Linked DNA regions of Mus musculus. The protein of the gene in region 6 interacts with the protein of the main gene of each other region in a pairwise test. Links are inferred from orthologs where the notes say so. Each region holds a gene or a part of one and is shown on either strand. Other genes may lie near its edges.

Region 1 (4,232 bases), on a different chromosome or scaffold from region 6:
CATGTGCACCCACATGTGTGCACATAACATGCATATACGGAAGAAAAGCCTTAAGGGGGGATTATTGGGGGCTGGAGAGATGGCTCAGTGGTTAGGGCTAGAGAGATGGCTCAGTGGTTAGGGGCACTGGCTGCTCTTCCAGAGGTCCTGGGTTAGGCCCCATGTGGCTGCTCACAACTGTCTGTAACTCCAGTCCCAGGGGATCTGACATCCTTACACATATACACACATACAGGCAAAACACTGATCCGCATGTTATATATAAGAGGTGTTACTAAGACGTTGGCATCAAAGCCAAGTTGTCTTAAGCTTGAAGCGCATGTCTGCTGTGAATTAGCCATGTTAATTTATGCAAACACCTCAGCTGCATAACCTGTGAGGCAGGTAAAATAATACTGTCCAGATGCGAGGGCTGGGTGAAGACTAAATTAGTGTATGAAGCAGTTAGAGAACACCTAGTAAGGACTATGCTTGCTATTATCATGGTTAGCATTAACTGGAGCCATTGGTCACATCCAGATTAGCTCTCCCTAGCCCCTCCCCCATCACAGGCCAGCTACCCCCACCTCTCCTGCTACCCGGTGACACTCTTAACTCTTATTTCTCTCATTTCAGCTAAACTTTTTGATCTGTGTCTATGAGCCAGGCCTCATGGCATACACCTTGAATCCCAGCACTCCAGAGGCAGAAGCAGGAGGATCTGAGTGCAAGGCCAGCCTGGTCTATATAGGAAGTTCAAGCCCAGCCTGGGCGACGTGGTAAGACCCTGTCTCAAACTCTTCAAGGCTGTAACAAATGCATTTCACGCCATGGTCAGTAAACAGCCCACTTAAAATGAACCAGGTTAAAACCATAAACCAACAACCCTAGCACTCAGAAGGGCTGATAACGGAAGACTGTGAACTTCAGGCTAGCCTGGGCAACTTAGTAAGGCTCTTTCTCAGAAATGAAAGCCATTCAAAAGCAGTCAGACACTAACTATGCGAAAACATATCAAGTTACAACACATGAAACGTAGACGGACCAGGAGGTGGTGGAAAACTAAAACACTCCACAATTGGAAGTGGGCGACAGTCTCATTCTCACCTGTAAAATTACTTTTTTCTAGTCCCTACAACCACTAAAAACACACTTAGAACCCGGCCATATCGCTCAGCCAATCACTAAGCAGACGCTTAGTATGCACACACTGGCACTGCCTGGCACTGGGCTTGGGCTAGGGTTACAGCATTTAAAGTGACACCAGTTTCTCCACCGAGCTTACAGTCCGGTGTAGGTGCTGAGCGCACACATACGTATTGTGCCGTTTTATAAGAGCATTCTGTTAATTATAAAACCCTTTTAACCTCTTACTAAAATATAAGCAAATAAATAAAACAGGGAGACCATTCCAAACTCTTTGAAAGCGCATGTTTTCTTCCTGTCTCCAGGGGCAGTGTTCTGTTGAATGGCACACTTGTGCCCATTCATTTCTGACCTGCTCATACCCCTTTGCACACTTAAGATGGCGAAGACTGTACTAGACTACCCAAGAATCAAATAACTGAAATTTAAACTGAAGAGTAATGGCAGTCCCCAGAACGTTCAAGGTATGTCTCCAAAGGAGCATAAAATTCATTTAACCTGGCTGCTCACACCTCCCAAACCGGTTGTCTGTGCTCTTTGAAGAGTTTACAGTCTAATCAAACTGCTTCACTGCACATCAATTAAACGCAGTTCTCAGTCCAAGAAGGACCAGCGACTTGATCTAAAAAGTATTAGCATAGCCCATGACGCAAGGGTGGGTCTGTGCTGGCTCTCAAGAGGTCCGGGGCTGGAGTCCAAGATCCGCAGGCAGTCCTAGTCACCTGACAAGGGCCCTACTCTGAGATAAGCACTTGGTGCTTCCCATCAGCGTGTGCATTCTCACTAGTAAGGCCTCCAACCCGCTGGCATGCAGCTGTACAAAACAGCAGAGCCATTATGAAAAAGGAAAAAAGTTAATTTAAAAAAATCTCCCTTTCACTCTGCAAAATTCACATGCAAAACGGCGCAAAATTCACATGCAAAACGGCGCAAAATTCACATGCAAAGCCGCGCATGCCTCTAAGACAAAGTCTGCGATCCAGAAGAAACAGAAGATAAGGTGTTTTGTCAACGGTGAAGGACTAGTAGGGTGGCACCGCAGGACTGGATCCTACGGAGAGCCAGGGAATGAAGGATCACTACAGAAAAATACAAACCCTAGGAGAGAGTTTCACCAGCGCAAGGCCTTAGAGCCAAAATCAAATGGCCAGAGGACTCTTGGGGACACCCTGCAGAAGGAAGGGGATCCATGCGCACGCTGAAGCACGCGAGGCCCGGACGTCCAGTCCAGCTGCTGCAGGCGAGCCGGGGAGAGGATGCACGCTCAGCGCCTGGGACTAGTGGGCCGTGTGCTGGTCCCCAGGCTGCAGGGAAGATGGGGAGGCAGAAGGGAGATTCGGGGTGCCGGCACCGCGGGGCTCAATCGGGGAATGCTGCGCACGCGGCTCCGGGGCTCGGGCTCCGCTACTCACCTCTCCGAACTGGAAAGCCGAGACGATGGTGACAACGACGCCCACGAAGCAGACGTAGAGCCCATACCTGTGGGATAGGCAGGTATAGGTCTGTCTCTGCAGGAGCTTAAGCAGCATCACCCCGGCCCCGCCACCCCACGCCAGGAGGAGCCCGCGCCGCGCCACCGCCTCAGCGAGCCGCCATTCAGGGGCCCCCGGACGCGCCGCCGCGCTTAGCTCACAGCCCCCGGCTGCCGCACATTGTCGCTCCGGCGACCGACGGCCCGCTGGGCTCCACGCCGCGGCCGCCGCTTCCGGGAGCCCGGAGCCCACGCCCTCGGCGCGGCGGAGGCGGACCCAGGGCCCGCAAGGCGCCCGGCGCCACCCGGGGTTGGCCTCGGAGAGGCGGCGGCGAGTCGCCAGCGCCACCTAGAGGGCGGAGGGGCAAGGGCAGGCGCGCGCCCTCCCATCTGCGCGTGCGCCGTGGGCCCTGCCCTTTGGGCCCTCTGCCTTCTGCACGGTGGGACCCACCCAACCAACAGGTAAGCGACCCGGGCTGTCCCCTGCAGTGTGCCAATGGGCAATCCTGATGAACCAAAAAAACACAGCTCCTGCCTCAAGTTTATCTTCGAAAGAAAATTTGAAAGATCGTGGCTAGGGAATGCATATTCGGCTTGTCCCAAATGACATAATCTACTCTAGACGTTCGTACACGAGGTTTAATTGGTTTTGGAAAAACAAAAGTCACTAATCGGGCATTTATCAAAAAAAATTTTTTGAGGTCACAGGTAGGCTGATTGTGGCAAAGCAGGGAAAACTAACGGATTTAGTTACTATCTGAAGCCTTAGCTTTTGATAGGTAATCAATCTGCTTATAAGTTTGTGTATGCAGGGGAACTCGCACGCGTGCGCGTGTGTGTGAGTGCGTGTGCGTGTGCGTGTGTGTGTGTGTGTGTGTGTGTGTGTGTGTGTGTGAGTGTATGGTGAGGGTCACTTGTTTCTGTCCTTCCATGCTGCGGGTTCAAGGAACTGAAGTCAGGCTTGGCATCACCTTAACCTGCTGAGCCATTTCAGAAACCCTTTCAAATACAACTGGGTAGTATAGCTATTGAATTGGCATTGTTAATTATAAAAAATTTTAAAAAGGAACTGGAGTGTTATAGAGAACTAACTAAGTTTTCGGGTCAAATTCACTTGGAGAATTGTTTGGGCCTACCTGGGTCTTTTTGTGTGGGGGTGGGGTGGGAGTGGGGAATTACCCTCATTACACGGCATACTCTCAAATGCAGTGTCTACCACAGTGCATACCTGTTGAGCACTTGGGACGTTGAGGCAAGAAGGTTATGAGTTCAAAGCCAACCTGGTCTTGGTAGTGAGACCTTGTCAATAAACAAAAGAAAATTAAAATGAAACCCCTCACTTTCCTACTTTGTTTCATTCGTCTAGTCCTCAACTTATCCTCTTTCTTCTGAAGCTTTCGTTGGTTTTGTTGGTTGGTTTGGGAATTATTAGGTTTTGTTTTGCTTGGTGGGGGGAGGGTGGGAAGGGGAGGGGACAGGAGTGGGGGAAGCTGGGACAGAACGGTGTGGAGGATTTTGAAACAGTGTCTCAAGAAGCCCCGGCTGGGTTCTAACTCCCAATGTAGCCAGGCAAGCCTTGAACTCTTCCCTCCCTCCCTTCCACCTGGGATTACAGGGCGGCACTACCCACCTCTTT
Region 2 (3,575 bases), on a different chromosome or scaffold from region 6:
CTGTCCAGTTCTTCAACTCGAGCTTTGACTTCATTGAGATCCTGATCCAATTTCTATGGGAAAAAAATTTTCAAAAGATGTTTTAGGCACATTCAAAGGTGAAATTTAACACATATGTAATTTATAATAAATGAAAAAAAGTTAAGTCTGTGGAAATGGCCTAGACTAAAGCAGATTAGAGAAAGACAACAAGTAAATAAAATATAAAATTCTGGATCTAATATTGAATCCCATTTTCATCCAACTTTAAGAAATATATTTACACAAACCTGGAAACCCTAACCACTATTTATACACAAAAGAAACAATCTGAGCGTGACATCAAAAATATTAGCACAGAGCTCTTTCTATAAGCAGTGAGAGGCCAACTATGAAAATGGTTCACTGTTTTCTTATCCATAAAGCCCTATAAAGTCATGTATATCTGAAAACTCGAATCCTTGTGCTCATTTTAAGAACACACTTGAGACTGCCTAGGCCAGCAGGAATATGCATGTGGGGAAAGCCTCCACATATCAGGAAGATGTCACTTTAAAGAAGCAATCAATGTGTGGCACTTTTGGCAGATATCAATGATACCATTTCGTATGCCCAGGCCTAACAACGGGGTTGAACCTGGGTTGTAGCCCAAAGTGTTGAAGTTTTGTTGCACATGCTTAAAACTGCAGAGAGGAACACTGAAAACTTAAGATTCTCTGCTCACTAAACATATGCAGGTGAACAGAGCACCTGAGATGCGCTGTCTTAACTTACAGAGCTCATGGTTCAATTAATGCACACAAGTTCCCACCACACTGACATGATCCTAAATAAAACAAACTGCCCCTAAGTCAGAAATGGAGGTATACAGAAGAAAACATCCCAGAAGAACTAGAGAAGCAACATTATGGCTCAGAGATAAATGCAACATAAACCAAAACAAAACAAAAAGAGAGATAAGCATATTTGTGGTAAGTTAAAAAACACCAAATGCATGTGTTTATGTATCCACACACATGTATTTTAAGATTCTATGGTTTCTCATGTTTTGAAACCAACGACCACTCAGAGCAGACCTCACAGTTTAGGCGCAGGCATTTCCTTTCCTGGACACATGTCCCAGACTCTCCTCATCCACCCTACAACCTTCCACTCACACTCGCACACACATGCAGAGAGATGCAGGTTCTTTCTTAAGCTGAACTAAAACTTCCCTCCTCTACTTCAAGTTTTAAGAAAATTTTAGCTAAATATGTAAACGATGTTTAACTCATTTAGAAAGAACTAAAAAAAAAATCACTATTATTTTAACTAACAAAAATATTTTGCAGTGAATTATAAAGCTGATAGAATAGCTAGCTGTGCAGTTAGTGCTTGCTGCTCTCACAGGGGACCCACATCGAATGGCTCGTGTCTGCCTGCTCCACAGGATCAGGCCGACACACTAAACACCAATGCACATAAAATAAAAACAAATCATTTAAAAATAAATAAAATAAAATACGCTCAATCTACGCAAACATCACGAGCATGGACTAACTATCCTTAGGAAACTTTTAAAAAGAGCGGCCACTGAGATGGCTTAGTAGGTAAATCTCAAGACCCAACCGAATCAATCCCCAGGACCCTCACAGTGGAAGATGAGAATCTCCATACCTGTGCTAATGGAAGCACACGGACACAGCACACAGCACACAAGACAACAAACACTGTGTACTGCTGGGTTTGTGTGTCAACTTGACACAGGCTGGAGTTATCACAGAGAAAGAAACCTCCCTTGGAGAAATGCCTCCAGGAGATCCAGCTGTAAGACATTTTCTCAATTAGTGCTCAAGTCGGGGAGGGCCCATTGTGGGTGGTGCCATCCCTGGGCTGGTAGTTTGGTTCTATAAGAAAGAAAGCTGAGCAAGCCAGGGGAAGCAAGCCAGTAAGGAACATCCATCCCTCCATGGCCTCTGCATCAGCTCCTGCTTCCTGACCTGCTTGAGTTCCAGTCCTGACTCCCTTTGGTGATGAACAGCAGTATGGAAGTGTAAGCTGAATAAACCCTTTCCTCCCCAACTTGCTTCTTGGTCTGATGTTTTGTGCAGGAATACAAACCCTGAGTAAGACACACTGTGTGTACTAACAGTGGCAGCCTTTCTAACTGAGCGGCTTCTTTGTTCATTTTAAGAACAGCATGGTGGAGGGAGCTGGGGAGATGGCACAATGGGACTTGTTTCCATGCCTGATTATCTCAGATCAACCATTTGAAGGAGAGATCTGAGTCCTACAAGCTGTCCTCTGACCTATACACATACAAACTAAGGGAGAAAAAAAAAAAGCGGGGCATGGTGGCACACGCCTTTAATCCCAGCACTTGGGAGGCAGAGGCAGGCAAATTTCTGAGTTTGAGGCCAGCCTGGTCTATACAGTAAGTTCCAGGACAGCCAGGGCTACATAGAGAAACCCTGTCTTGAAAAAAAACAAAACAAAAACAGATTTTTAAGTATGCAAGCTTACTTAAAAACAACACAAAGCAGATAAAATGCATATGTTTATCTTACTAAAAATTTTTTTTCACAAAACATACTAAAGTTCTTATTCTTATGGTCAGTAATGGCGCACACCTGTTTCTAACATTTAGGAGACTGAAGCAAGATTGCTTTGAGTTTAGGGATGGCCTGGGCTACACAGTGAATTACAGAAACAGCCTGAACAACAGAGTAAGATATTGTCTCAAACAAACCAAACCAAAAAATATAAAGCAAAATTTTTCTTACATTATATTGCTCCAGATTTTTCTCTTTATTTGCCTCGGTATCCTCCAAATCCTTGTGAATAGCAGCAATCTGTCTTTTCTTATCATTAATTGCCTGATCTAAAGACTTCAGTTCCTTTTTAATCCATTTATCCCTTTCTTCTTTTGACGTAAACTGGCTTCCTCGACCCTGCTTTGCATAAAGATCAGTTCTTTCCTGTGTAGCTTGAGCCAACCTACGAAATACAAACCAAATACAAGAAATAAAAATTGTAATTATCAACCCTATAGAAACTTTCCTTTTAAAAATTACATTGCGTGGGGACTATAGGTTATTGAGATGGCTCAGGACCCATATGGTAGAAGGAAAACAAACTCTTCAGGGTTATCCTCTCACCTCCACACATGACGAGCACAGTGAAATAAACAGGGGGAGGGGTTAAACATAACTAAACATAACTGCTAACTGCTAAAGCTACTGCACCACCTGCTTTTACTCTACTAACACCAAAGGAACTTTAACATCATAACTACAAGCAGAATAATCCCTTTACTAAGGATTTTAGACAGACCCAAGATCTCAATGATCACTAAATTCTAGACAATGCTACTGCCCTACCTCAGGAGCTTTCAGAAATACTCGAAGTATAGTTAACTAATACATGAACTTTCAACTATACAATAAAACACTAAAAGTTAATATAAAGTGTTTTAGACATATAAAATGTAAGTATTCTGATTACACAAAAACCAATTTAAACCTCCTCCTGATCACACGCACACAATAAAAAGGGATGGCGCTTGGGCACAACGGTTCATGCCTTCAACCCAGCACTTAGGAGGCAGAGGCAGATAG
Region 3 (4,094 bases), on a different chromosome or scaffold from region 6:
GGTTACCTATAAAAAGGCAGTATTCCTTTCATGTAGAATCATTTCAAATAAGAATGGAAAAATACCTGCGAGCCATGCTTAAGGCCTAAGTATTTATGACCTCACACCTTTCTTAAGTATTTGTAAACCTGAAAGTATTTGGGACTCTCCAAACAAGACTATAAACATATTTTTCAAAACACTGTTTTTACTTTATCAGTTGTAATCCGATCCAAATTCAGGAACCTTCTGATATCACTCAACTTCCTTAGCAGAGCTTCCTACATAACCTCAGACATCACCAACACTGTATACGTAACATGCAAAGTGGAAGTCCCCACACTTTGATGTGTCTTACGCTGTCATTGAGCACATCTATCAGTCCCTCTATTTTATATTAAAATCACTTGTAGCCCGGCGTGGTGGCACACGCCTTTAATCCCAGCACGCGGGAGGCAGAGGCAGGCGGATTTCTGAGTTCGAGGTCAACCTGGTCTACAGAGTGAGTTCCAGGATAGCCAGGGCTACACAGAGAAACCCTGTCTCGAAAAACCAAAAAAAAAAAAAAAAAAAAAAAAATCACTTGTAGACTCCAACTCTGCTTCATACAGGCTCGCCCTGGAATTTTTTTCCTGTGGCAAATTCAAGAATCCCAACTTCACTTGAATGGAGATCTCTTGAAAAAAAAAAAATCCAGTTGCTAGGGTGACTATCTACAACCTGTGTCCCTGGGCCCTGGCTCGCTGCCACAGACAGGTTCATTATTTTACATGGATATAGTTTATAATGTGCCCAAAGTACTATAATACTAAGAGCAAAAATATAAATATAACAGGCACATGTTACCATTTAAAAACATTCCCATCCCTGAGGCTGTTTGAATGGCCTTAGTTCTGTAGTCATTAATGGAGGTATCCGAACCCTGGGGGATTGGACTTTTATTGCACTTCTGAGTCACGGGTCTGCCAATCTTGGAAAGCCTAGGCTCCCCAAGAGACAGTCAAGTCATCCAGCTCTCCAGCCTCGAGGTTGCCAAACGATGGACTCGTCACCAAGGCAACCACGTTCCTTCGTCTGGGCGTGGCCCGGGTGAGAGTTCAGAGGTGGTGCTTAGGCCGCTCAAGAACCAGAGCACCAGTGCGGAAGAAGTCTGGGCGTCTCCCACAACACTAGCCCGCCCGGCCCTGCGCGGAGGAAACCCCGCCTACCCTGCGCTGCTGTGCCGCACACATGAATCCGCCTCCGGCAGAACCAGGCGGCAGGGGGCGGGACGAGACGCACAGCCCCGCCTCCGAGCGCGCGTGCGCACTGACCCCTGGGAGGCACGAGCGCAGTTGATCTTAGCCATGGGAACGGGAGCGGTCCTGGAGGCCTCCGGTCAGCTGCTGGCGGGGCCCGCATCCATCCTCGGGCAGGAGTTCCCAACCGACTTCAGCTGGGGAGATGTGGTCCCAGGACGCCCTCGCGTCGCCTCTCCCCTGCGGTGACTCCAGGTATGTCCGTCCCCAACACACCTGAGACTTCGTTGCTGCCTTAGTTTCCACCCCTGGGTACTACTGGGTTCCTTCACCTTTTAATACCTCAAGAAACATCTTTCGCTCTCCATGAAACAGCTTTTAAATGCAATTATTGCTCTTTTTAATGTACTGAGCAAATTGAGTTGATCGAGGTAGTGATCCAGTTTGGCTTTAATGTGACTGAGAATACTTTTGCAGCCCGTGGAGTTACGTTTTATTTCTGAGAGGCCTCTGTGAAATGGAGAATGGCCCTTTGGCCCTGCTGAGGGATGGCCATGTTACTCTAATCAAGTTCATGGCCTATGCCCCTTAGGTAAGATCACTCTTTCTTGGTTTATCTCTGTCTCAAGCCCTCCTGACCAAAATTTGTTCATTCTTGGCCTCCTGGATATGTATAGCGCGTTTCTCAGGTTTCTCTGTCTCTATATAATCCTTTGCGTGTCAAAGACCAGAATTTTTAAAAATGAATCCCATTCGTTATTTATTAGACCTCTGAATTGTATGCTCTCTTATTCTCATGTTCCCCTTATTCATTTTTTCCACTATGGTTCTATTTTTTTTTCATTAAATCCCTGAGTTTAGAGAGAGAGCATTCATATTATTTTATATCTGCTTCCATTCACACCCAATCACCCATAATTTCTCACAGCATCCAGTACAGATATTGCCATTTTAGTGATTTAACTGCCTGGATCCCAGGCTAGCTACAGGTTATGCCTTTCCTACCTTTAGGAAATGCCTATTGGTTATTAACTGCTGTGGAAAATCCCGGGCAGGGGACCTTTGCATCCTCCTCTGTGAGAGCTTTCCTGAGGTACATACAATTCATTTTCTGGAAGTATACAGCTTACTGGTTTTGAGCATCTCAACAGGTTTGCACAATCATCTCTACAAGTTGGTTTCGGAGCAATTTGATTACCTCCAAAAGAAATCTTTTCTATTTAGCTGCTTTTTCTCTCTCCTCCCCAATATTCCTGCTATTAGTTGTAGGCAATCACTAATCTTTAGTCTCAACAAAATTATTTCAGATACTCGATATAAACACAACCTTAAAACATGTGATCTGTGTGCGTGCATCTAGCGAATTTTATGTTGCAGCTTGTATTATTCATTATTGTTTATTAGTATATTAGGCAGATATGCCCTGTATTATTTAGCCATTAGCCATTGGCAAAAAGAGTTTGCCAGTACTAATAATGCCGTGGACATTTTGTATAAATTTTTATGTAGGCATGTTTTCATGGATATAATACCTGGTAATGGAATAGGTATGTCAGAGGCTAATTCCCTTGTTTGGCTCTTTGAGAAACTGACAGATTTTTTTTTTTCCCAAAGCATAGCACCACTCACTGTACATCCCCACTAGATGTATTTGAAGGTTTTACATTAACCTCATCAACACTTGTTCTAGGCTTTCATTTTTATTTTAGCCAATCAGAGAAATTCACACTATCTCATGGTAGGTTTGGCTTGCATTTCCTCATGGCAAGCTTCATTTCCAGCATGGTCTATCACCCAGAAACTGTCAATTCTTATCCTTAGTTTATCTTTTTAAAACCAGGTTGTATTTTCATCATTGAATTGGGAGAATTAATTAATTAGCTAGTTAATTAATTAATATAGCTGAGATGCAGATCTCTAATTGCAGCCTTTTGCCATTCTGCAAATAGCTTCACTTCCCTGATGGCCTGGGCTCTTAACCGCTCTCGTTCAAGAGTGTTAGGTGCCAGTGTCCTCAGGCCAGCTTGGGTATCAGGTTTTACCTTTTATAACTTTTTATATTCCTTTCAAGTCCTCTATTCAAGAATCCTCAGAATTTGCCTGGTGGTTCCTGCCTTTAATCCCAGCACTCAGGAAGCAGAGTCAGGTGGATCTGTGAATTTGAGGCTAGCCTGGTCTACAGAGTCAGAGTTCTGTATCTTGTATTCATAGAATAATGATATGATGCATTAAAGAATAAACCTAAACTAAAAAGCTGCCTAGGAATTTGTTTCTTCTGGCCTTAGAGGAATGTGTGCACACTCATGTGCTGTGCGTGCTTTCAAGCTACTACTTTTTGTTGTATCTTTCTTTTTTCAAGGGATTTTAGTCCGCAGCATATGATCCATGAGTTGTTGTGTGGGTAACTAAGAATTCCGCCACGGCAGATTGCAAGTTTGAACTGCTTCTTACCCTGTGGGAATTTCATGACTCAGATTCCAAATGCAGCAGCGTCTCAGAGTCTGTTTGGCTGGCTCCCTCTCAGTGCGTATGTAGAGAGTGTATGGCCCGAGTCAGTGCTGTGCTGCCGTCATTAGCGCAGCTCTTGTTTCCTCAGGATTGAGTGTGCATTTGAACATGCTGGAGGAAGCCATGACAGATATGGTCTGTCCTTCCAGGTGCTGACCGCCCTCAGAAGCACATGCCAACATGTTACTCAGGGAATGAGTTTACTTCTTATGGTCATATTCTACAGATAATCCAGGCTAGCATTCACAATACTTCTCCACATAAATGTAATTGTAGTACCTCAAAAAATACTCTAAATTCTTAAGTATTTTTAAAATTTTTATGGTCTAGAATGACAATCAGAAGTTAACAGCTTATTATATACTTTTT
Region 4 (4,329 bases), on a different chromosome or scaffold from region 6:
GCAGAAGGCTGCGCACCCAGGGTCAGGCGGGGACAGCCATGCTCACGGTCCTGCGATGCCTCCTGCTGGACACACGCGGCACTGTCAGCATCGAGGGCTCTCTTGAAAAACACACTTTCTCTTTGCTTTGTTCAGATAGTGGCTGGAGCCAAGGCTACGAGTTATGGGCTACTGAATGAAACCTTGTCTAAATGTGCAAAAATTTAGGAGACAAGTGACAAAATCCAAGAAAGGACAGGTTTGGCAATGTTTTGTTTTTGAAACAAGGTCTCCTGTAGCCCAGGATGTCATTAGAATTCACTGTGTAAGTTAAGGAAGGATGGCCTTGAATTCCTGATCTCCCTGCAGAGATCAGACCCTGCCTCCATCTGCCAAGTCCTGGAATGACAGCTGGCTGCCACCCGCCTAGCTCCACGTGCTGATCTATCTATCTTTTTTGTTGTTTTTTTGTTTTGTTTCGTTTTTTTTTTTTTTTTTTTTTTTTTTTTTTTTTTTTTTGAGACAGGGTTTCTCTGTGTAGCCCTGGCTGTCCTGGAACTCACTCTGTAGACCAGCCTGGCCTCGAACTCAGAAATTGGCCTGCCTCTGTCTCTGCTGGGATTAAAGGCATGCACCACCAACGCCCCGCCTTTTTGTTTGTTTTTAAGATAGGGTTTCTTGATTTAGCCTTGTCTGTCATGGAACTCACTCTGTAGACCAGGTTAGCCTTGAACAAAGATCTCCTGTCTTTGCCTTCTAAATGCTGGGATTAAAGGCGTGCACCACTACTGTCTGCCTTTTGTTTTGGTTTTATCATAATTGTTGCATTTTTGCCCGCAGGAGGATCAGGAATTCAAGGACAACCTCTACAGCCAACCCAGTTGAGGGCCAGCCTGTTCTATCGAGATCCTGTCTCCGGACAAAAAAAGTTTCATGAGAGCGTGGTGTGTTGGCACAGTCTTTTAGTCCGAGCACTGACGCAGTAGATTAAGGCAGATCTTCATGATTTGGTGCGGTCCTGGGCTGCATCCAAAGACCTTGTTTCCAAAACAAACAAACGAAAAAGTGTAATAAAAATACAAGCAAGGTTTTGCAGAAATAAATCTGTGGCCTCAAGGGTCCCTTTCTCCAGCTTTTCCCAGAGGTGTCAAATTACATAACAGTCTCAAACCCAGGAAATTGAACTTTGGCACAACCCACTGACCGGTCCGAATTTCAAAGTCTTTTTCCTATTGACCTACAAGGTTTTCAAGAATCATGTTGTAAGCAACTGTGTTCTGAGGAATCTATGTTTAAAAACCCATCCGTGGATCTTGGCCCAGGGTCCAGAGACTGAGCTAGCCACGCCCCGGCCGCGCCGCAGCCACTCCCACGGCAGTTCAAGTGTTAAGTCCCAAAGACCGCGCTCTGTGCATGCGCAGACCCGTCCACAGCTGGCTCCTAGCCAACCCGGCCGGACGAGCACCCGGCGCCGTCACGTGACGCACCCAACCGGCGTCGACCTATAAAAGGCCGGGCGTTGACGTCAGCGGTCTCTTCCGCCGCAGCCGCCGCCATCGTCGGCGCGCTTCCCTGTTCACCTCTGACTCTGAGAATCCGTCGCCATCCGCCACCATGGTGAGTCTCCTCGGCTCCGCTAGACTCGGGGACCGAGACGAATCTCTGGGGCAGCGGGACGTGGCTGTAGCGGGACGCTGAGAGGGACGGGAGGAAGAGACATGGCTGCCCTGGCCCGGGCGGCAGGACGTGGTCGGGCCGCGGCGCCATATCTGCGCGTCCCTGAGGGCCTTGGGAGTGTCAACTGCCGAGGTCGGGGTGTTTTCTTGAAGTCCTTCAACTCCCCGCGGCCGCCGGGGTGACTGCGGGAGGGGTTGTGCTTGGTGATGTGGCAGCGGGCAAAGCGCCGTCCCCGCGCCCCTGGTGACGGGCGGAGGGTGTCCTCGGGAGGTGACAGCCTGTAGGGCTGGCTTCCTTGGACACCTCCAGTGGGCTGAACGCCTTCCGGGCCCTTTCCGGTAGCCCCCGTCTCTGTTTTCTATCTGAGTTCACACGTGAGCACCGGTCCCCATAATCTAAGAAAGTGGCTCACTGGGCCTAGTGGCGCATTGTGGCCTTTGATCCGGGCTTTGACCTTGGCGCACAGCACCCAGTGGTTTGGGGAAGAGGTGTGTGTAGCAGAGGAGGTTTTTTCGTGCTTTGGTCCCAATCAATCCGGCATCTTTGCAGTGCCGAGGTGGCCGTGCACCTTGGCTTTGAATTCTTGTGCTGAGGTTATGTGACTTGAGCCTCAAGATAGGGTCTTCTAGCACAGGCTTGCTCTTAAGTGTCGCAGTTGTCGGTTTCGGCGTTTGTTTAGAGCTGTGGACACATCTGTGAACTTTTGATGCTTATTTCAGAGGTCCTGGGTTGTACGTTTGAGTCACACTGTGAGCTCAGCTCCAATCTTGGGCCGACATCTGGTTCCTGCCCCTGCTGTGGGGTGCTATTGACCCACCGATGCCTGCCAAGTTGGGTTCCCAGAATCAGCCTGGCTGCCCATCCCCCCACCACAGGTGAACTTCACAGTAGATCAGATCCGTGCCATCATGGACAAGAAAGCCAACATCCGGAACATGTCAGTCATCGCCCATGTGGACCACGGCAAGTCCACGCTGACCGACTCCCTTGTGTGCAAGGCTGGCATCATTGCCTCTGCCCGAGCTGGGGAGACGCGCTTCACTGACACTCGCAAGGATGAGCAGGAGCGCTGCATCACAATCAAATCCACGTGAGTGAGGGGACAGCCCCGAGGGGTTGTGCTCTGGGTGTCACTCGGGTGTGTTTGCTGCCAGTGGACAAATAGTGGCGTGTTTAGGGTCCTCTCTGTGACATGCTTGTGTGTGCTGCCTAGCCTGCCTTGGTCAGATGCTGAATGGACTGTTGACCTCTTCCTCTCCGTAGCGCCATCTCCCTCTTCTACGAGCTCTCTGAGAACGACCTGAACTTCATTAAGCAGAGCAAGGATGGCTCGGGCTTCCTCATCAACCTCATCGACTCTCCAGGCCATGTGGACTTCTCTTCAGAGGTGACAGCTGCCTTGCGTGTCACCGATGGAGCTCTGGTGGTGGTGGACTGTGTGTCTGGTAAGCCTTGGGTGGGAGCTGTAACAGACAGTTGCTGGTGTTTTCATGGCCCAGTACCACATTTTTGGGGGTGTAAATTGAAATCATATTCATTTTAAGGCAAGGATGAATTCTGCTCTAATTTGAAATTGTATGTGCCAGTCCCCATGTCAGGGCAGGGAGATTGTGAAGTCCACCTAAGTGTGGGGCCAGTTTCCTATAATTTCAGTGCTCTGAGGCAGAGGTGCATGGGTCTCTGGAGGTGGGAGGGGCTGAGTGGCATAGGGCCTGGTACACTGGACACACTTGGAGATTTAGCGCCTGGGCATCCATACCGTGTACCTTGGAGAGTGCTTGTGTACATTTCACAGACAAAACATACGTGGTCTTCAGGCCTTGAACTGTCAGTGGTTTAGAGTACTTGAGAGTTAAGGGTAAACACTTAGTCCTTTTCACCCTGTCCTCAGGCGTGTGTGTGCAGACAGAAACTGTGCTGCGCCAGGCCATCGCTGAACGCATCAAGCCCGTCCTGATGATGAACAAGATGGACCGGGCCCTGCTGGAGCTGCAGCTGGAGCCCGAGGAGCTCTACCAGACCTTCCAGCGCATCGTGGAGAACGTCAACGTCATCATCTCTACCTACGGCGAGGGCGAGAGTGGGCCCATGGGCAATATCATGGTGCGAAGCTCTTCTATGGGGGGCGGTCAGGGCCACGCTCCCTGGGAATCTCTGACCCACCATGATGACGGAAATTCTTCACTTTGACCTGATGTCTGTTGAAGAAACTCAGTGTCTGAGACTGTGGGCTTGTGGCTGGGCTGGCTGCTGACCATCTTGCCGGGCTAACTGCTGCTCTCCTCCCTCAGATTGACCCCGTCCTGGGCACCGTAGGCTTTGGTTCTGGCCTGCATGGCTGGGCCTTCACCCTGAAGCAGTTTGCGGAGATGTATGTGGCCAAGTTTGCAGCCAAGGGTGAGGGCCAGCTGAGCGCAGCCGAGCGTGCCAAGAAAGTAGAGGACATGATGAAGAAGCTGTGGGGAGACCGGTGAGTACATGGCTGTGTGACTGTCTCTACCCCTGCTACTTGTGGACAATGCCTGCCTGCCGATACTATGTGACTGCTCTCTACAGGTACTTTGATCCGGCCAATGGCAAGTTCAGTAAGTCAGCCAATAGCCCAGATGGGAAAAAACTTCCCCGCACCTTCTGCCAGCTCATCCTGGACCCCATCTTCAAGGTGGGTAAGCT
Region 5 (4,282 bases), on a different chromosome or scaffold from region 6:
AAGATCTGAGAACCATAGAAACGCTCCATCTGTGGTAAAATACTTACTCTGCAAGCATGGGAACCTGAATTCAGTTCCTCGGTATTCCAGCTTTTTACTGCAGCTTGGGCACTAGGGAGGCAGAGATGGGAGGATCTTTATGTATTGCTAGTCAACTGTCTAACTAACCAAGGAACTCCAGATTCAGTGAGAGACTCTGCTCCAAAAAAACTAAGGTGAGAAGTGGATGACTGAGTTAGACACTGGGTACCTACCTCTTGTATTCATATAAACACAGACCCAAAACACAAATGTCGATAGTGCGTGCAGGCACACATGAGAGGCAGAGAGACAGTCATCAAAACGCTAGGTGTTTCCAGGGCCAATTAATTGACAGAGCAAGAAAATACAGGCATATGTACTATCATGCGGTCCAAAATATAAGCACACAGCTGTAGATCTTTACACACACCTATTGCAAGGTGAACACAAATTCCTATGGGTGTCTTCAAACTTCATCCTGACCGAAACCAAGCCTTCTAGCCCTTTTCCCTTGCTTGTCTGAGACTGCCAAGGGGAAAAGATCTGGTGGTCACTTAATCATCGTTCTCCCGTTAAACATAGGTGCGGGGTGTAGTTTGATGGAATTTGTTGATCTGTTTTCTCCTGCATGTGATTCTCAATTACCCGGCGCCCATTCCTTCACTGCACTCATCTTGCAGCCGTGACATAAAGCAGAATTTGATATTCCACACATCTGATTTAACGTACATTTTCTTTAAAAGTCCCTTTCCTCTGGTCTCCCCTGCCTCCATCATCTTCCCACTACATCTGGGTAGCCTGAGGACCCAGCACACTTGGGAGATGGGGATTCCCCGCAAGCACCCCCTCTCTCGCGCCTGCTTTTTACATACAAGGAGACGGTAGACTAGAGCAGATAATCTGTTTTCACTGCCTCTCTGCTCATTCAACAATTATCCCGCCCCTTCTACATGCCAGTGACAGCGCTGTGCCTGCGAAGGCCACACCAGCTCCATATCCTGGTCGCTCGGCCCCGCGGGTGACATAAATAATAATGAAAACGCTCCAGCGCTAGGACCGCTTGCAGTGCAGGCGCGAGAGTCCTGGCAGGGGGCGCAGTGCCCGTCCTGGAAGGCCAGTGTGGCTCGGTCACACTTGTTCCTGCTCCTCCCAGGTTTGGAGCAGCCCTGGAGGAGGAGACCTGGCCCGCTCCACGTTCTCTCTCAGCCACTCCATTTCGCCCTCCGGGCTCCCAGGCGCGGCTCCGCCCCTCCAGGACCCGCCCACAAAAGGCCCCGCCCACCAGCCGAGCCCACGCTCCGGCCGCTAACGAAGCTCTCCGGAAATTCCCGAAGCCCCTCTTTTTCCTTCCTCTCCTTTCCCTGCTCTCCCTTTCCTTTCACCCGGGCTCCCTCGGCCGTGATTTCTCCCTCCCCCTCCTTCCTTCCCCGTCGGAAAGCAAGATGGAGGCTCGCTGCTGCCGCCGGCGTTCGTGATCGCGGAGCTTCGCAGCCCCGGCCCCCGCCCTCGCGTGTCCGCGCCGCTGCCCGTGCCCCGGCCGGCCACGCCGAGGCCGTGGCTCCGCGCGCCCGCTCCGCGCCAGGCTCGCGGCTCCCGGGCGGTGTCCTCGTCTATGTGGGCGCGCTCCTCGGGCCGAGCCGCCGCCGCCCGCCGCCCCGGGGCTGTGCGTCCGCGCGCCGGGCGCGGGCAGCTGGGTGCTCGGCGCCGCCAGGCCAGGCGCAGGCGGCTGGGTGCGCGGAGCTAGGGGCGCGGGGCCCGAGGCGGGCTCGTCCGCCGCCGAAGCCATGAGCGGCAGCAGCGGCGGTGCCACCGCCCCGGCCGCGTCCTCCGGCCCCGCGGCAGCGGCCAGCGCGGCGGGCTCCGGCTGCGGGGGCGGCGCCGGCGAGGGCGCCGAGGAGGCCGCCAAGGACCTAGCCGACATCGCGGCCTTCTTCCGATCCGGTGAGTACCGCGGTTGCCCCGCGCGCTCGGCCGGCCCGGCGCGCCCGGATCTCCGGCCCGGTATAGCCCTGCGCGCTCTCGTCCCTGTCGCCGCATCGGGGCTCTGCGATCCACGCCGGCGTGTCAGGTTACCCACGCCGCCCTTGTGCTGCGGCTCGTCCCGGGCGCCTTCACTCGCTTTCCCGGCGCTCGCCCCTCGTGCCAGGCTAGACACCCCTCGGCCTCCCGTTTCAGCGGCCACGGCCCCGCGGGTAGGGGCGCCGGCTCTTTGTCTCTTGCTGGAGGGCCGAGGAGGCGGCGGCGGGGACGGCGTGGGCGGAGGCCGGTGTCCCGGAGGACGAGCTCACCGGGACCGGGGACAGCAGCTCTGCCCTGTAATAGCTTTTGGGCCGCTGGTAGCTGGACCACCAACCCCATTATCAGCGAGTGTCCCGACTCGGGGCTCTAGCCTGTCATCCAGCCTTGGTGTACGGTTCTGTGAAACGGGGCAGCCATCGCACCTCAGCCCAGGAACCGAGGACGGTGGCCGAGCTGAGGCGGCGGTCGGGTCGAGCCATTGTTTCTGGGGGAGGCCCGGGAAGGACATCTGGGACCGTGGTGGCCCTTGGGAGAGGCGTGGGACCAGGGCTGGCGGGCACTGCGTGGGTGGCGTGGACCTGGAGGCAGTGAGGGGCAGTTTAGGGTCCGCTCTGGCGAGCCGGAGGTGGCCGAGGAGGAGGCTAGCCCGGAGCCCGGCGGGCGGGAGGGGCGCTGGTGTGCTGCGCAGGGGGCGTGACGGGGCGTCCCGGGGACCCCGGTAACGGCGCCTCCTCCAAGCCCGGCCCGGCCCAGATCCCGCGCGAGCCCGGCTCGCGTCCGCGCGTCCCTGCGTGCAGTCCGGTTTGCTTGCGCGTCCGGGAGGCGGCGGAGGGCAGCGGCGGCCGGGGGCCTGCAGTTCGGAGAGCAGTCCCTGGCCGGCCAGGCTTGGGAGTGAGGATGCAGACTCCGCGCTGGAGAGCCAGAGAGGGCGGCCCAGGTCAGGATCCGGACGGACGGGCGGGCCAGGGAGGGCGCGGGGAGGCTGTTTGCCCGCCTCCGGGAGGACGGAGAGCCTCGGGGTCTGGTGAGCGGCCTGCACCGGGGTGAGCGCGGGAGGCTGACAGCTCAGGGTCTCAGTGGCCTCTTTCAAAGTCAGGTCCCAAACTGGAAGAGATCAGGGCCGCAGTCCAGGTCATTAGGAGCTAGCAATTGAAGCGACCAGCCTTGGGCGAGGCAGATAACTTCTGGGCCGTTAGACACCTGGTTTAGTTCTGTCTTCTTGATCTTTGTCTGGCAGGGTTATTTTTGATTCGTCTTAACCGATTGGTTATGAAGAGAAGTGACACGTTCCGTCTCGACTGTGTCAACTTGGGTTTAGTGTGCTCTTTCCAGCTCTCCCTCTCCGGTGAGGGCCTTGTAGAAAGCTGAGGTTTAGAAAGACATGAACTCCTTCAAATGAAAGCTTTAACGGTTTTTAACAATGTATTATTTATTTTTTAGTGTGTGACTGGCTGGAGGCATGGCCCAAAGCCACCATTCTTTCTTTTTTTCCATCACCTGTCACAGACTAAATGGTTTTGTGCAGAATTCATCTTCCCAATGTTCTTGCGTCCTAGAGGTGGATTTTTTTTTTCCCCTTATGGCTTAATGCACAGTTCAGGAATGACTTGTTTCCAAGATTCTCCAAAGACATGCTGGTCTTGATTGCCTCTCTTCACTCTGGGCTCTGCTCTTACTGTTCGTAGTCCTGGGTAGCTCGTTCGTTTTAGAGTTCCTGATCAGGTAAAGCCGCTTACTGCCTTGTTTCCTTTATTCCACCTCCAAAGTGACTTGAAGGAGCCAGCGCAGATTTTCAGTTGGTTTCAGAGTTGTCCCATCCCCCTTTAGAATTTCATTTCACCCTCCACTCTGAATCCTTGCCCCAGATCTCAGTGGTTGGCATGTAGGCTGGTGTGTCTAGCAGAGGATACCTAGGGGCTGGTCAGTTTGAAGCATAGACATCATGGTTTTAAGGGTGGCCTTGGTTGGAGACCTCCTGGAAAGAGATCAGTTCAGGTAGGAGCCCTCCTGGAAAGATTTGATTGACTGTGAATAAGGAGGAGTTGTCAGATCCATCTCTTCTGTCTTCAGGATGTGCAGACAGGGAAAATCCGTCCCTGTTGACTGGGAGGCAAGGCACCTTCTCCAAGGTCCCTGAGCCTGGTCCTCAGGGCACGTTCTATTGCTTACCTTTTCCTTCTCAGTCCTGTAGCTGTAGTTATTTGGTCCCCTCTTCTGTTTATCCCTTTCTTGCTTCTTTATT
Region 6 (3,575 bases):
ATTCATTCATTCATTCATTCATATTCATTCTCTGTCTCTCTGTCTCTCCGTGTCTCTTTCACTGAGACTTGGAACTTGCCAATTAGACTAGGCTGCCTAGATGGAGAACCCTAGATATCCTCCTGTTTCTCTACCTCCTGCGAGCTAGGGTTACAGGTGTGTACCACCCTGCTCAGCTTTGTCTATGGCGTGGTATTTTTGTGAGCTTGACATATGTCCTTGCCAATGGGAATGCATTTTTCTGTGTCCACACCATGTAGAGATCAAAGGTCAACACTGCATGTCTTTCTTCATCTTTAATATTTTTTAAAAAATATTTATTTATTTAATGTATGTGAGTACACTGTTGCTGTCTTCAGATACACCAGAAGAGGGCATTGGATCCCCATTACAGATGGTTGTGAGCCACCATGAGGTTGCTGGGAATTGAACTCAGGTCCTCTGGAAGAGCAGTTAGTGCTCTTAAACGCTGAGCCATCTCTCCAGCCCTTCATCTTTAATTTTTAAAAATGCATTTTATATCTATTTACCTTACGTGTATAGGTGTGTTTTCTGCATTTATGCCTATGTACCGCCCACATGACTGGTGCCAGGGCAAGACAGGTATGGGCATGGGATCCCCTGAAAATGGAGTTAGATATGCTGGTGAGTGTCATGTGGGTGCTGGGAACTGCATCCTGGGCGCTTCTGCAGGAGCATCAAGTGCTCTTGTGGAGCAGAGGCCCATTTACATCTTGAAGGTGGCGGCCTTAGAAAGCCTGCGCTTGCATTCTGTAGGTCCGACACATGGCTGAGAAAGCCTGCTTTTCTAATCCAGTTGGCACAATCAAGGTTATGTGGTACCTATTGCACCCTCGGCCTCAGCCAGCTTTCCAGCCTCTCCATCTTTAATTTTTGAGGCTGACTCTTTCCCTGACCATGAAGCTCATCAATTTGGCTCCATGGTCAGCGAACTTCAGGGACCCCCCTGACTCTGCCTCCCAGCACGGGGACTGCAAACATGCACCACCACACCCAGCACTTTAACCTGGGCTGGGGGGGGGTGGTGGTCAAACTCAGGTTCTCGGACTTGCACAGCAAATACTTTACGTGCTGAGCCATCTTCCCAGGCCTGTAGCTAATAGTTCACCACACTTTTATGTTCCATGTCCTATTCTAAACTGTTTATACAGATGCTAACAAGAACCTTGTATATGGGGTCCTTCTAACCACCCCCTCAACTGAGGGGGAACCGAGGCACACAGAAGCCAAGCAGCCTGCAGAAGGTTACACAATGAGCAGTTGATATGGTCATATTTGGACCAGACAGTGAGGTGACAGGATTCTTACTGTTCCTATTTCTGCAGGGTAGCTAGGTGAGGACTCAGCCCCTGTGGTCCACTGTGTGAGATGAAGAGACAAATGGCCTCTATGTCACAACCAGTGACTTAGAGAGGGTTTTACTGCTGTGAACAGACACCATGACCAAGGCAACTCTTAAAAAGGACAACATTTAAATGGGGCAGGCTTACAGGTTTAGAGGTTCAGTCTATCACCATCAAGGTGGGAGCATGGCAGAGTCCAGGCAGGCACGGTGCAGGAGAATGCTGAGAGTTCTACGTCTTCATCTCAAGGCAGCTAGGAGAAGACTGACTTCCAAACAGCTAGGATGAGGGTCTTAAAGCCCACACCCACAGTGACACACCTACTTCAACAAGGCCACACCTTCTAATAGTGTCATTCCCTAGGCCCAGTATATACAAACCATCACAGACACCGAGGGCTCGGGAATGCGTTGGGAACGTGGGAACCTGGATACTTGGCTACTGCAAATCCAAGTGTCATTCAATAGTGACTGGAATACTTGACAGAGTCACATGCTGATATTTTGGTGTCCGGTGGCTTGCTTTGCAAGCCCTCTCCTGGAGGGACACACTATGTATCATCAGCACTAGGACAGTCGCTGGGGAGCCACCAAGGCTGTGTCCCCAGGACACTGACAGTCTGTCAGACAGACATACAGTAGGGCCTGCTGCTCTGCCAGCAGAAGGCTGGGATGCTGGGCTGACTGGGCATCTGCAGAGGGGCACCAACTTTCTTTTGGTTTTTAAAGACAGGGTGTTGTGTAGCTCAGGCTAGCTCGAACTCCCTCTGGTAGTAAGGATGACCTTGCTTTCCTGACCTTTCAGCCTTCCTGTCCCAAGGACTGGCATCATGGGAGTGTCCCACCATGAGTTTTCACGCTGTGTCTTGGATAGGTGTACCCACAGAGACCTGCATGGCTAGCATGTCCTCCCCGTGCCGCTCCTGCTGATTCAATGACATACACTGTTTTCTCTTCTCTTCTCAGACAGTGGGCATGGCTTACCGCCTGCAGTAGCCCCTCAGAGGCGGCGGCTGACACGGAGACCAGGCTACATGAGAAGCACAGCGGGTTCTGGGATCGGGTTCCTCTCTCCAGCAGTGGGCATGCCACACCCGAGCTCAGCAGGGCTGACAGGCCAGCAGTCCCAACACTCACAGTCCAAGGCTGGACAGTGCGGACTTGACCCTGGGAGCCACTGCCAAGCCTCACTGGTGGGCAAGCCTTTTCTCAAGAGCTCCCTTGTCCCTGCTGTGGCCTCTGAGGGCCACCTGCACCCAGCCCAGCGCTCTATGAGAAAAAGACCAGTGCACTTTGCGGTTCATTCCAAGAATGACAGCAGACAATCTGAGAGGCTGACTGGGTCATTTAAGCCTGGGGACAGTGGGTTTTGGCAAGAATTATTATCTTCAGACAGCTTTAAGTCTCTGGCTCCTAGCCTTGATGCACCCTGGAACAAGGGATCAAGGGGCCTGAAGACTGTGAAACCTCTGGCATCACCGGCGTTGAATGGCCCCGCTGATATCGCATCCCTTCCCGGCTTCCAAGACACCTTCACTTCCAGCTTCAGCTTCATCCAACTCTCCCTTGGTGCTGCTGGAGAACGCGGAGAAGCAGAAGGTTGCCTGCCATCCAGAGAGGCCGAACCTCTGCATCAGAGGCCCCAAGAGATGGCAGCTGAAGCATCTAGCTCAGACAGGCCCCACGGGGATCCTCGGCATCTCTGGACCTTCAGTCTTCACGCTGCTCCAGGCTTGGCGGACTTGGCTCAGGTGACAAGGAGCAGCAGCAGGCAATCAGAATGTGGCACGGTCTCCTCCTCCTCCTCGGACACTGGCTTCTCTTCCCAGGATGCATCCTCCGCTGGTGGGCGGGGCGACCAGGGCGGCGGCTGGGCCGATGCCCATGGATGGCATACATTGCTCAGGGAATGGGAGCCCATGCTGCAGGACTACCTACTGAGCAACCGCAGGCAGCTGGAGGTGTGTGTGCTTCTGGAATCGGGTCACCTCAAACTCAGTGTTGGGTGGAGGCGGGGAGTGGGCCACCGACTGAGTGCTGGTCCCGGAAGCTGCAATGGCTCCTGGGACGACTGAAAAGATGTGGCGGCACATCTGTCTCCTCCACATCTGAACGCGCATGCTCTGCTTTCCGCTTTCTGGCTGTGTGGCTTAGGTGCTGGCATGTCCTCTCTGATGGGGCCCATACTTCTCCACAACCTTTGACCTGCAGT
Region 7 (4,375 bases), on a different chromosome or scaffold from region 6:
TGTGTGTGTTGGGGTTGGTACTCAGGTGTATCTATCAGACTTGGCAGCCTTATCTGTCCACTCTCTATGCTGTCTTGGAGACTTCAGTCTGCTTTCTGAAGATTGTTAGAGCAGAGCATACAAGTACAAGGGGGAGCCTAGCGTCCACACCCTTTTCAGAGTTTAAGTAGTGAAATATAGCCAGACCAATACTTTCATATTTGCTATCATCAATATATACGAGGCATACATCCATTTTCCAGCTCATTCTCCCATTCAATCTCTGCAGTATCTATTGATTTTATGATTCTGATTCATGGTTACAACAAAGGGTTCTTATGACAAAGTCATTTGCGCAGAGTCCCTGGGCTATTTCTTGTGACACTTCGCATGCAGATAAACCATGCCTATGTAGTCTAACAGAAGTCAGAGCTGTATGGTCATCATGTATGAACCAGGGCCCTTTTCATCTTTCTCATGTTAATTGCATTGGCTGTCTTTGAGGCAGTCACTTTTGTGCAGAGTTCTGTAAATCCTTTGATGTTCATGACAAAGAGACAGGCTGTGGCTAGGTGGTGGTCCTATCACCCCGGGAGCCTCTGCAGAAGGCATCCTGGGAGACCCGTAAGAGCTTCTCCTGGATTTATGGCTTTTTTTTTCTTTTTTTTTTCACCCACTAAAGATTGTTCCGTGGTGATAAGAAAGTCCAACACACCTCAAGCCTTTTGACAAGTTGTTTGTGTTATCCAACATGTTTTGGACATTGAGCTCAACTTAACCAAAGCAACCACGTCCATGTCTGGCTGCAAGTCAGCTGAGAAAGAACAGGAGTCAAGAGAGAATGTAAGGGACATTCTCGAGTTCCCCAGATGCTCCACCGCGCACCTCATCTGTCGCCACTATTTATTGTTTTACTGTGGGCCTGTGCCATAACAGCCTGCTGGCAAGACACTGAAGGGCAAGGAAACCACCCCAGAGTTCTAACTGCTCAATGGCTCTTTGGAAAAAAGTGGGGGTGGGGGCACGATCTTCAAACAACGCACACATTCTTTCCCCAGATGTGGGAAGTCGTGTCCGGTGATTGACAAGCAGAGGAAACAGACTGCTCTACCTGATTGGACTTCACTTAGACGATCCAAACTTTAAATCTTTCCTAAGAATGGGGTGGGGGGTGTCTTTAAGAAAAACAAAGGAAACCAGTCAGAAACAAAGATTTAGTGGAGCGAGCTGTAAACTGAAAACAAAACCCTGGGATCTAAGAGAAAGGAGAGGGTAAAATTTTTTTCTCCCCACTGCGGGTACATTTCTATTCTGTGTGGCTGGAGTCTGCCCCAGAGGAGTCTGCAATGTCAAGGTGGCACATTTAACCTCTTTGCAGACAAAAAGCACTGCAGATGAGACTATACTGCAGGACTTCTCTCGGGTACTTTTTCAACTGTATTGATTGGCAGCTGCAAGCAGGGTTATAGTTTTCTACTGCAGGGTGATCTTGTTCCTGAAGGAATGAGCGAGAAAGGCTCGCAGGAAGTGCTGTATTGGGGAAGGTGCAGATGGGAGGACCTTCTCAAAGACAGCACAGTTGTTAGCCCTGACTTCTCCTTTAGCATTGTGTTTTTCTAGAGAGGATGTAATGAGGAACCGGGCATATTCCCTGTCCCCTTGTCACCTCTTAACAAATGATAGGTAGCAGGAGGAGAGAGATCTGTGAAAACTGTGAGGGAAAGGATAATATGAAAGTAACCGAAGAAGAATGTACTGTTAGAGATATTTCCTAACTGAAAAACAAACAAACAAACAAACAAAGCATTCTACTTCTACACAGCTGTCAGGCCCATGACAGTGACAGATACAGTTAGGTAATTTAAACATGGCAAACACACATTTTTTAAAATTTTGAAATCTATACTTCTGGTTTGGCCATTACGAAAACTATGGTTTATTAGTGCTCGACATTTAATTTTGTAGGAGGAAAAGAGACATGGCCACACAAAGTAAAATTCTCCTTTTTCCTTCATATAAATCACTCCAAATGGGATTATAAAAATAAACACATGGCTTTGAATTATTTAAGCAGAATCATCAAGCAGTCTTTTTAGATCAGGGAAGTCAGTTTAACGCATGCAGTTGGGCAATATAAGCAAATTTAACATTTACCTGCGGAGAGGTGGCTGGATCCAGAGCCTTGGTAGCTTGAAGCCGAAGTTGAGTCCCCTCCTTGCACACAGCCAGGAGGTAAAAGTTTGACAAATGCCCAAGAGGAGCTAGCTCTTCCACCCCCCTCCCTCGTCAGCTTGGCTGCTTTGCCTAGAAGCACATTCACGTTTATTGGAGTTGAAATTCTGCTGCTCTGTCAGCCAGTCAGGGTCTGAAGTGACAGATGAGAATTTGGAGGTTGGCACCACAGGGTGTTTCAGGCTGTCATGGTTTCTGTTGCAGATTCCTGGATCTCGCTCCCTCCGTGCTGCTGAGCTTTGCAGCAGAGCAGACCCAGAGGGAGAGAGCTAATTCTGCAGCATGCATGGAGTGAACGGCCCTCCCCTAGCCTCTCCTCCTCATAGGCTCCTAACTTGGCCAGAGTGTAAGCATTTGGCTCTTCATGCAATTTTTTTTTTTCAAACAACTCTGAGAGATCGTATGATTGGGATCCCTTGGGGCTTGTGACTCTGAGACACTGCAGAGAGGCTTCACACTCTTGTTTATTCCTAGGGCGACTGCAAAGCCAGGGTGAAAGGACAGAAGGATCACTGCAGCAGATGCGTTTTTATATTGCTCGATTGGAAGCTGTCCTCATGACCGCAGTCTGAACGTTAACAGAGAACCGTTCCGGCTGCTTTAACCGTCCTACTCGTAAGCAGCTCTGGAAAATGAAGTTGCTGCTCTTTAGAGCATGCTGATTTAGAGAAGCTGTGATTCATAGCCTGCTCTTGCCCAGCCCAGTCAGTCATCCTCTGTAAGCCTATGATGGCACCGGGCTGTACAAGAAGAGGTCTTCCTGTGTGCTTATTTCTGACTTTGCACTGTGGCATTCATCTATCAAGGCATGTAAATATTTATTTATTTATTTATTTATTTATTTATTTATTTACCTGGCCCCGAGCTAATCTGGAACCCACAGAGATCCGTCTGCCTCTGCCTCCTGGGTACTAAGTTTAGAGGAGCAGCAGTAGGCCTGGCTCTGCTTCTGTATATGTATGTGTGTAATCATTTCAATGGTTGTGTCTGTATTTATTGCACATTTATCGTGTGTCGGACCCTGCGCTAACAGCTTTCAATGCATCGTGTTCGTGGAGTCTGACAAGTCTTTGGAGGTTTTACTACGTTCCCATTTTAAAGATAGTACAGAGTAATGTTAACTGTACAGGATTTAAGGACAGGCAGCTTGGATTTTCTTCTTGACTTTCCCACACCCTAACTGTACACCCAGGAGCTAGTAATAACCTCTCTCAGCATCTGCTTTCTTATTTATAAAATGAGGCTACAGATATAGGAGGAGTGATTATAAGGTCTATCACAGGCAATTGTTCTGAGTTTCAATAATTTGATGCAAACCAACTGCATAAAACTCCTGCCATGTAGTAGACACTCAACAAATGTTAACTATTTTGGTTTATGTCAGACGACAGCAACGTTCGCTTTCTCCCGGGTCTCTAACTGTAATAGCAAGGTGGTACTCTCCTTGCCTCCCGCCTGTGTTAGCCAACTGAGCAGGCATTTCGCTGAGGAAGAGATACTGCCCCCCCACCCCCTTCTCCAGGTGACTAGCCCAAATGCTTCTGATACTATACACTCTCCACTAACACTGGATGAGAAGTTGTTATTTAACGTAATTTAGGCTCTCTGAGTGTGTGACAAAGTCAACAGGCAACCAGACTGATAAAAGCAAAAGCCAAGTGAAGCAAATAAAAACCCTGAGCTATACAAGTTTGCAGACGTGCCTCAGCCGGTTCGCTCTACGGACCCCAGAACATTCGTCGCACTGATTTTCAGAATGAGAAAGGTAACAGAACTTATCTCTGTCGTGCAGCAGGGAAGTCTGGGAGCAGAGGAAGCCGGGCAGTGAGCCAGAGCCCTTCCAGCTGGGAAGGGCGCACGTGTCTGGGATCAGGATTATAGAAAGGGCCGAGGATGTGACGTCTTGAAGCCTCAGACAATGGGATGTTTTTTCCTCAGCTCAGGTTTGGAGTGTGAGCAGCTCCTCTGAGGAAGGGACAAGGGTTTGTTTCTTCCAGGGCCTCTGCACACATCTGCACGCTTCTCTCTGGTCTTAGCAGCATAGAGGATGCTGGCGCCATTCTGCGATGGTGTCCCGAGGGATCATGGAGCAGCGAGACCAGCCAGGCCATATAGAAAATGATTTGACTTTTTTGGTTAAAGAATTTTCTCAAAGACTTCGAAC

Evidence for each region.
Region 1: the proteins of Disc1 (region 6) and Gnptab interact in a two-hybrid assay, tested with the Homo sapiens proteins (2 studies listed by BioGRID and IntAct). The link is inferred for Mus musculus from reciprocal best matches to the Homo sapiens genes DISC1 and GNPTAB.
Region 2: the proteins of Disc1 (region 6) and Smc3 interact in a two-hybrid assay, tested with the Homo sapiens proteins (2 studies listed by BioGRID and IntAct). The link is inferred for Mus musculus from reciprocal best matches to the Homo sapiens genes DISC1 and SMC3.
Region 3: the proteins of Disc1 (region 6) and Pcnx4 interact in a two-hybrid assay, tested with the Homo sapiens proteins (2 studies listed by BioGRID and IntAct). The link is inferred for Mus musculus from reciprocal best matches to the Homo sapiens genes DISC1 and PCNX4.
Region 4: the proteins of Disc1 (region 6) and Eef2 interact in a two-hybrid assay, tested with the Homo sapiens proteins (2 studies listed by BioGRID and IntAct). The link is inferred for Mus musculus from reciprocal best matches to the Homo sapiens genes DISC1 and EEF2.
Region 5: the proteins of Disc1 (region 6) and Trio interact in binary tests that used the Homo sapiens proteins (3 or more experiments, as listed by UniProt). The link is inferred for Mus musculus from reciprocal best matches to the Homo sapiens genes DISC1 and TRIO.
Region 7: the proteins of Disc1 (region 6) and Sparcl1 interact in a two-hybrid assay, tested with the Homo sapiens proteins (2 studies listed by BioGRID and IntAct). The link is inferred for Mus musculus from reciprocal best matches to the Homo sapiens genes DISC1 and SPARCL1.

The regions. Positions count from the first base shown.
Region 1 is NC_000076.6:88,377,841-88,382,072, reverse strand, and holds the start of Gnptab (N-acetylglucosamine-1-phosphotransferase subunits alpha/beta), read right to left. Parts: upstream 2,806-4,232; 5' UTR 2,655-2,805; coding exon 2,538-2,654; intron 1-2,537. UniProt on the Homo sapiens protein: Catalyzes the formation of mannose 6-phosphate (M6P) markers on high mannose type oligosaccharides in the Golgi apparatus.
Region 2 is NC_000085.6:53,624,329-53,627,903, reverse strand, and holds part of Smc3 (structural maintenance of chromosomes protein 3), read right to left. Parts: intron 2,956-3,575; coding exon 2,742-2,955; intron 54-2,741; coding exon 1-53. UniProt on the Homo sapiens protein: Central component of cohesin, a complex required for chromosome cohesion during the cell cycle. The cohesin complex may form a large proteinaceous ring within which sister chromatids can be trapped.
Region 3 is NC_000078.6:72,535,068-72,539,161, forward strand, and holds the start of Pcnx4 (pecanex-like protein 4), read left to right. Parts: upstream 1-1,289; 5' UTR 1,290-1,472; intron 1,473-4,094.
Region 4 is NC_000076.6:81,175,134-81,179,462, forward strand, and holds the start of Eef2 (elongation factor 2), read left to right. Parts: upstream 1-1,497; 5' UTR 1,498-1,593; coding exon 1,594-1,596; intron 1,597-2,531; coding exon 2,532-2,746; intron 2,747-2,919; coding exon 2,920-3,101; intron 3,102-3,547; coding exon 3,548-3,759; intron 3,760-3,827; exon of another isoform or gene 3,828-3,880; intron 3,881-3,947; coding exon 3,948-4,126; intron 4,127-4,212; coding exon 4,213-4,318; intron 4,319-4,329. UniProt on the Homo sapiens protein: Catalyzes the GTP-dependent ribosomal translocation step during translation elongation.
Region 5 is NC_000081.6:28,023,020-28,027,301, reverse strand, and holds the start of Trio (triple functional domain protein), read left to right. Parts: upstream 1-1,453; 5' UTR 1,454-1,805; coding exon 1,806-1,962; exon of another isoform or gene 1,963-2,937; coding exon of another isoform or gene 2,938-2,977; intron 2,978-4,282. UniProt on the Homo sapiens protein: Guanine nucleotide exchange factor (GEF) for RHOA and RAC1 GTPases. Involved in coordinating actin remodeling, which is necessary for cell migration and growth. Plays a key role in the regulation of neurite outgrowth and lamellipodia formation.
Region 6 is NC_000074.6:125,085,125-125,088,699, forward strand, and holds part of Disc1 (disrupted in schizophrenia 1 homolog), read left to right. Parts: intron 1-2,329; coding exon 2,330-3,324; intron 3,325-3,575. UniProt on the Homo sapiens protein: Involved in the regulation of multiple aspects of embryonic and adult neurogenesis. Required for neural progenitor proliferation in the ventrical/subventrical zone during embryonic brain development and in the adult dentate gyrus of the hippocampus.
Region 7 is NC_000071.6:104,111,244-104,115,618, forward strand, and holds the start of Sparcl1 (SPARC-like protein 1 precursor), read right to left. Parts: upstream 2,846-4,375; 5' UTR 2,134-2,845; exon of another isoform or gene 1-2,133.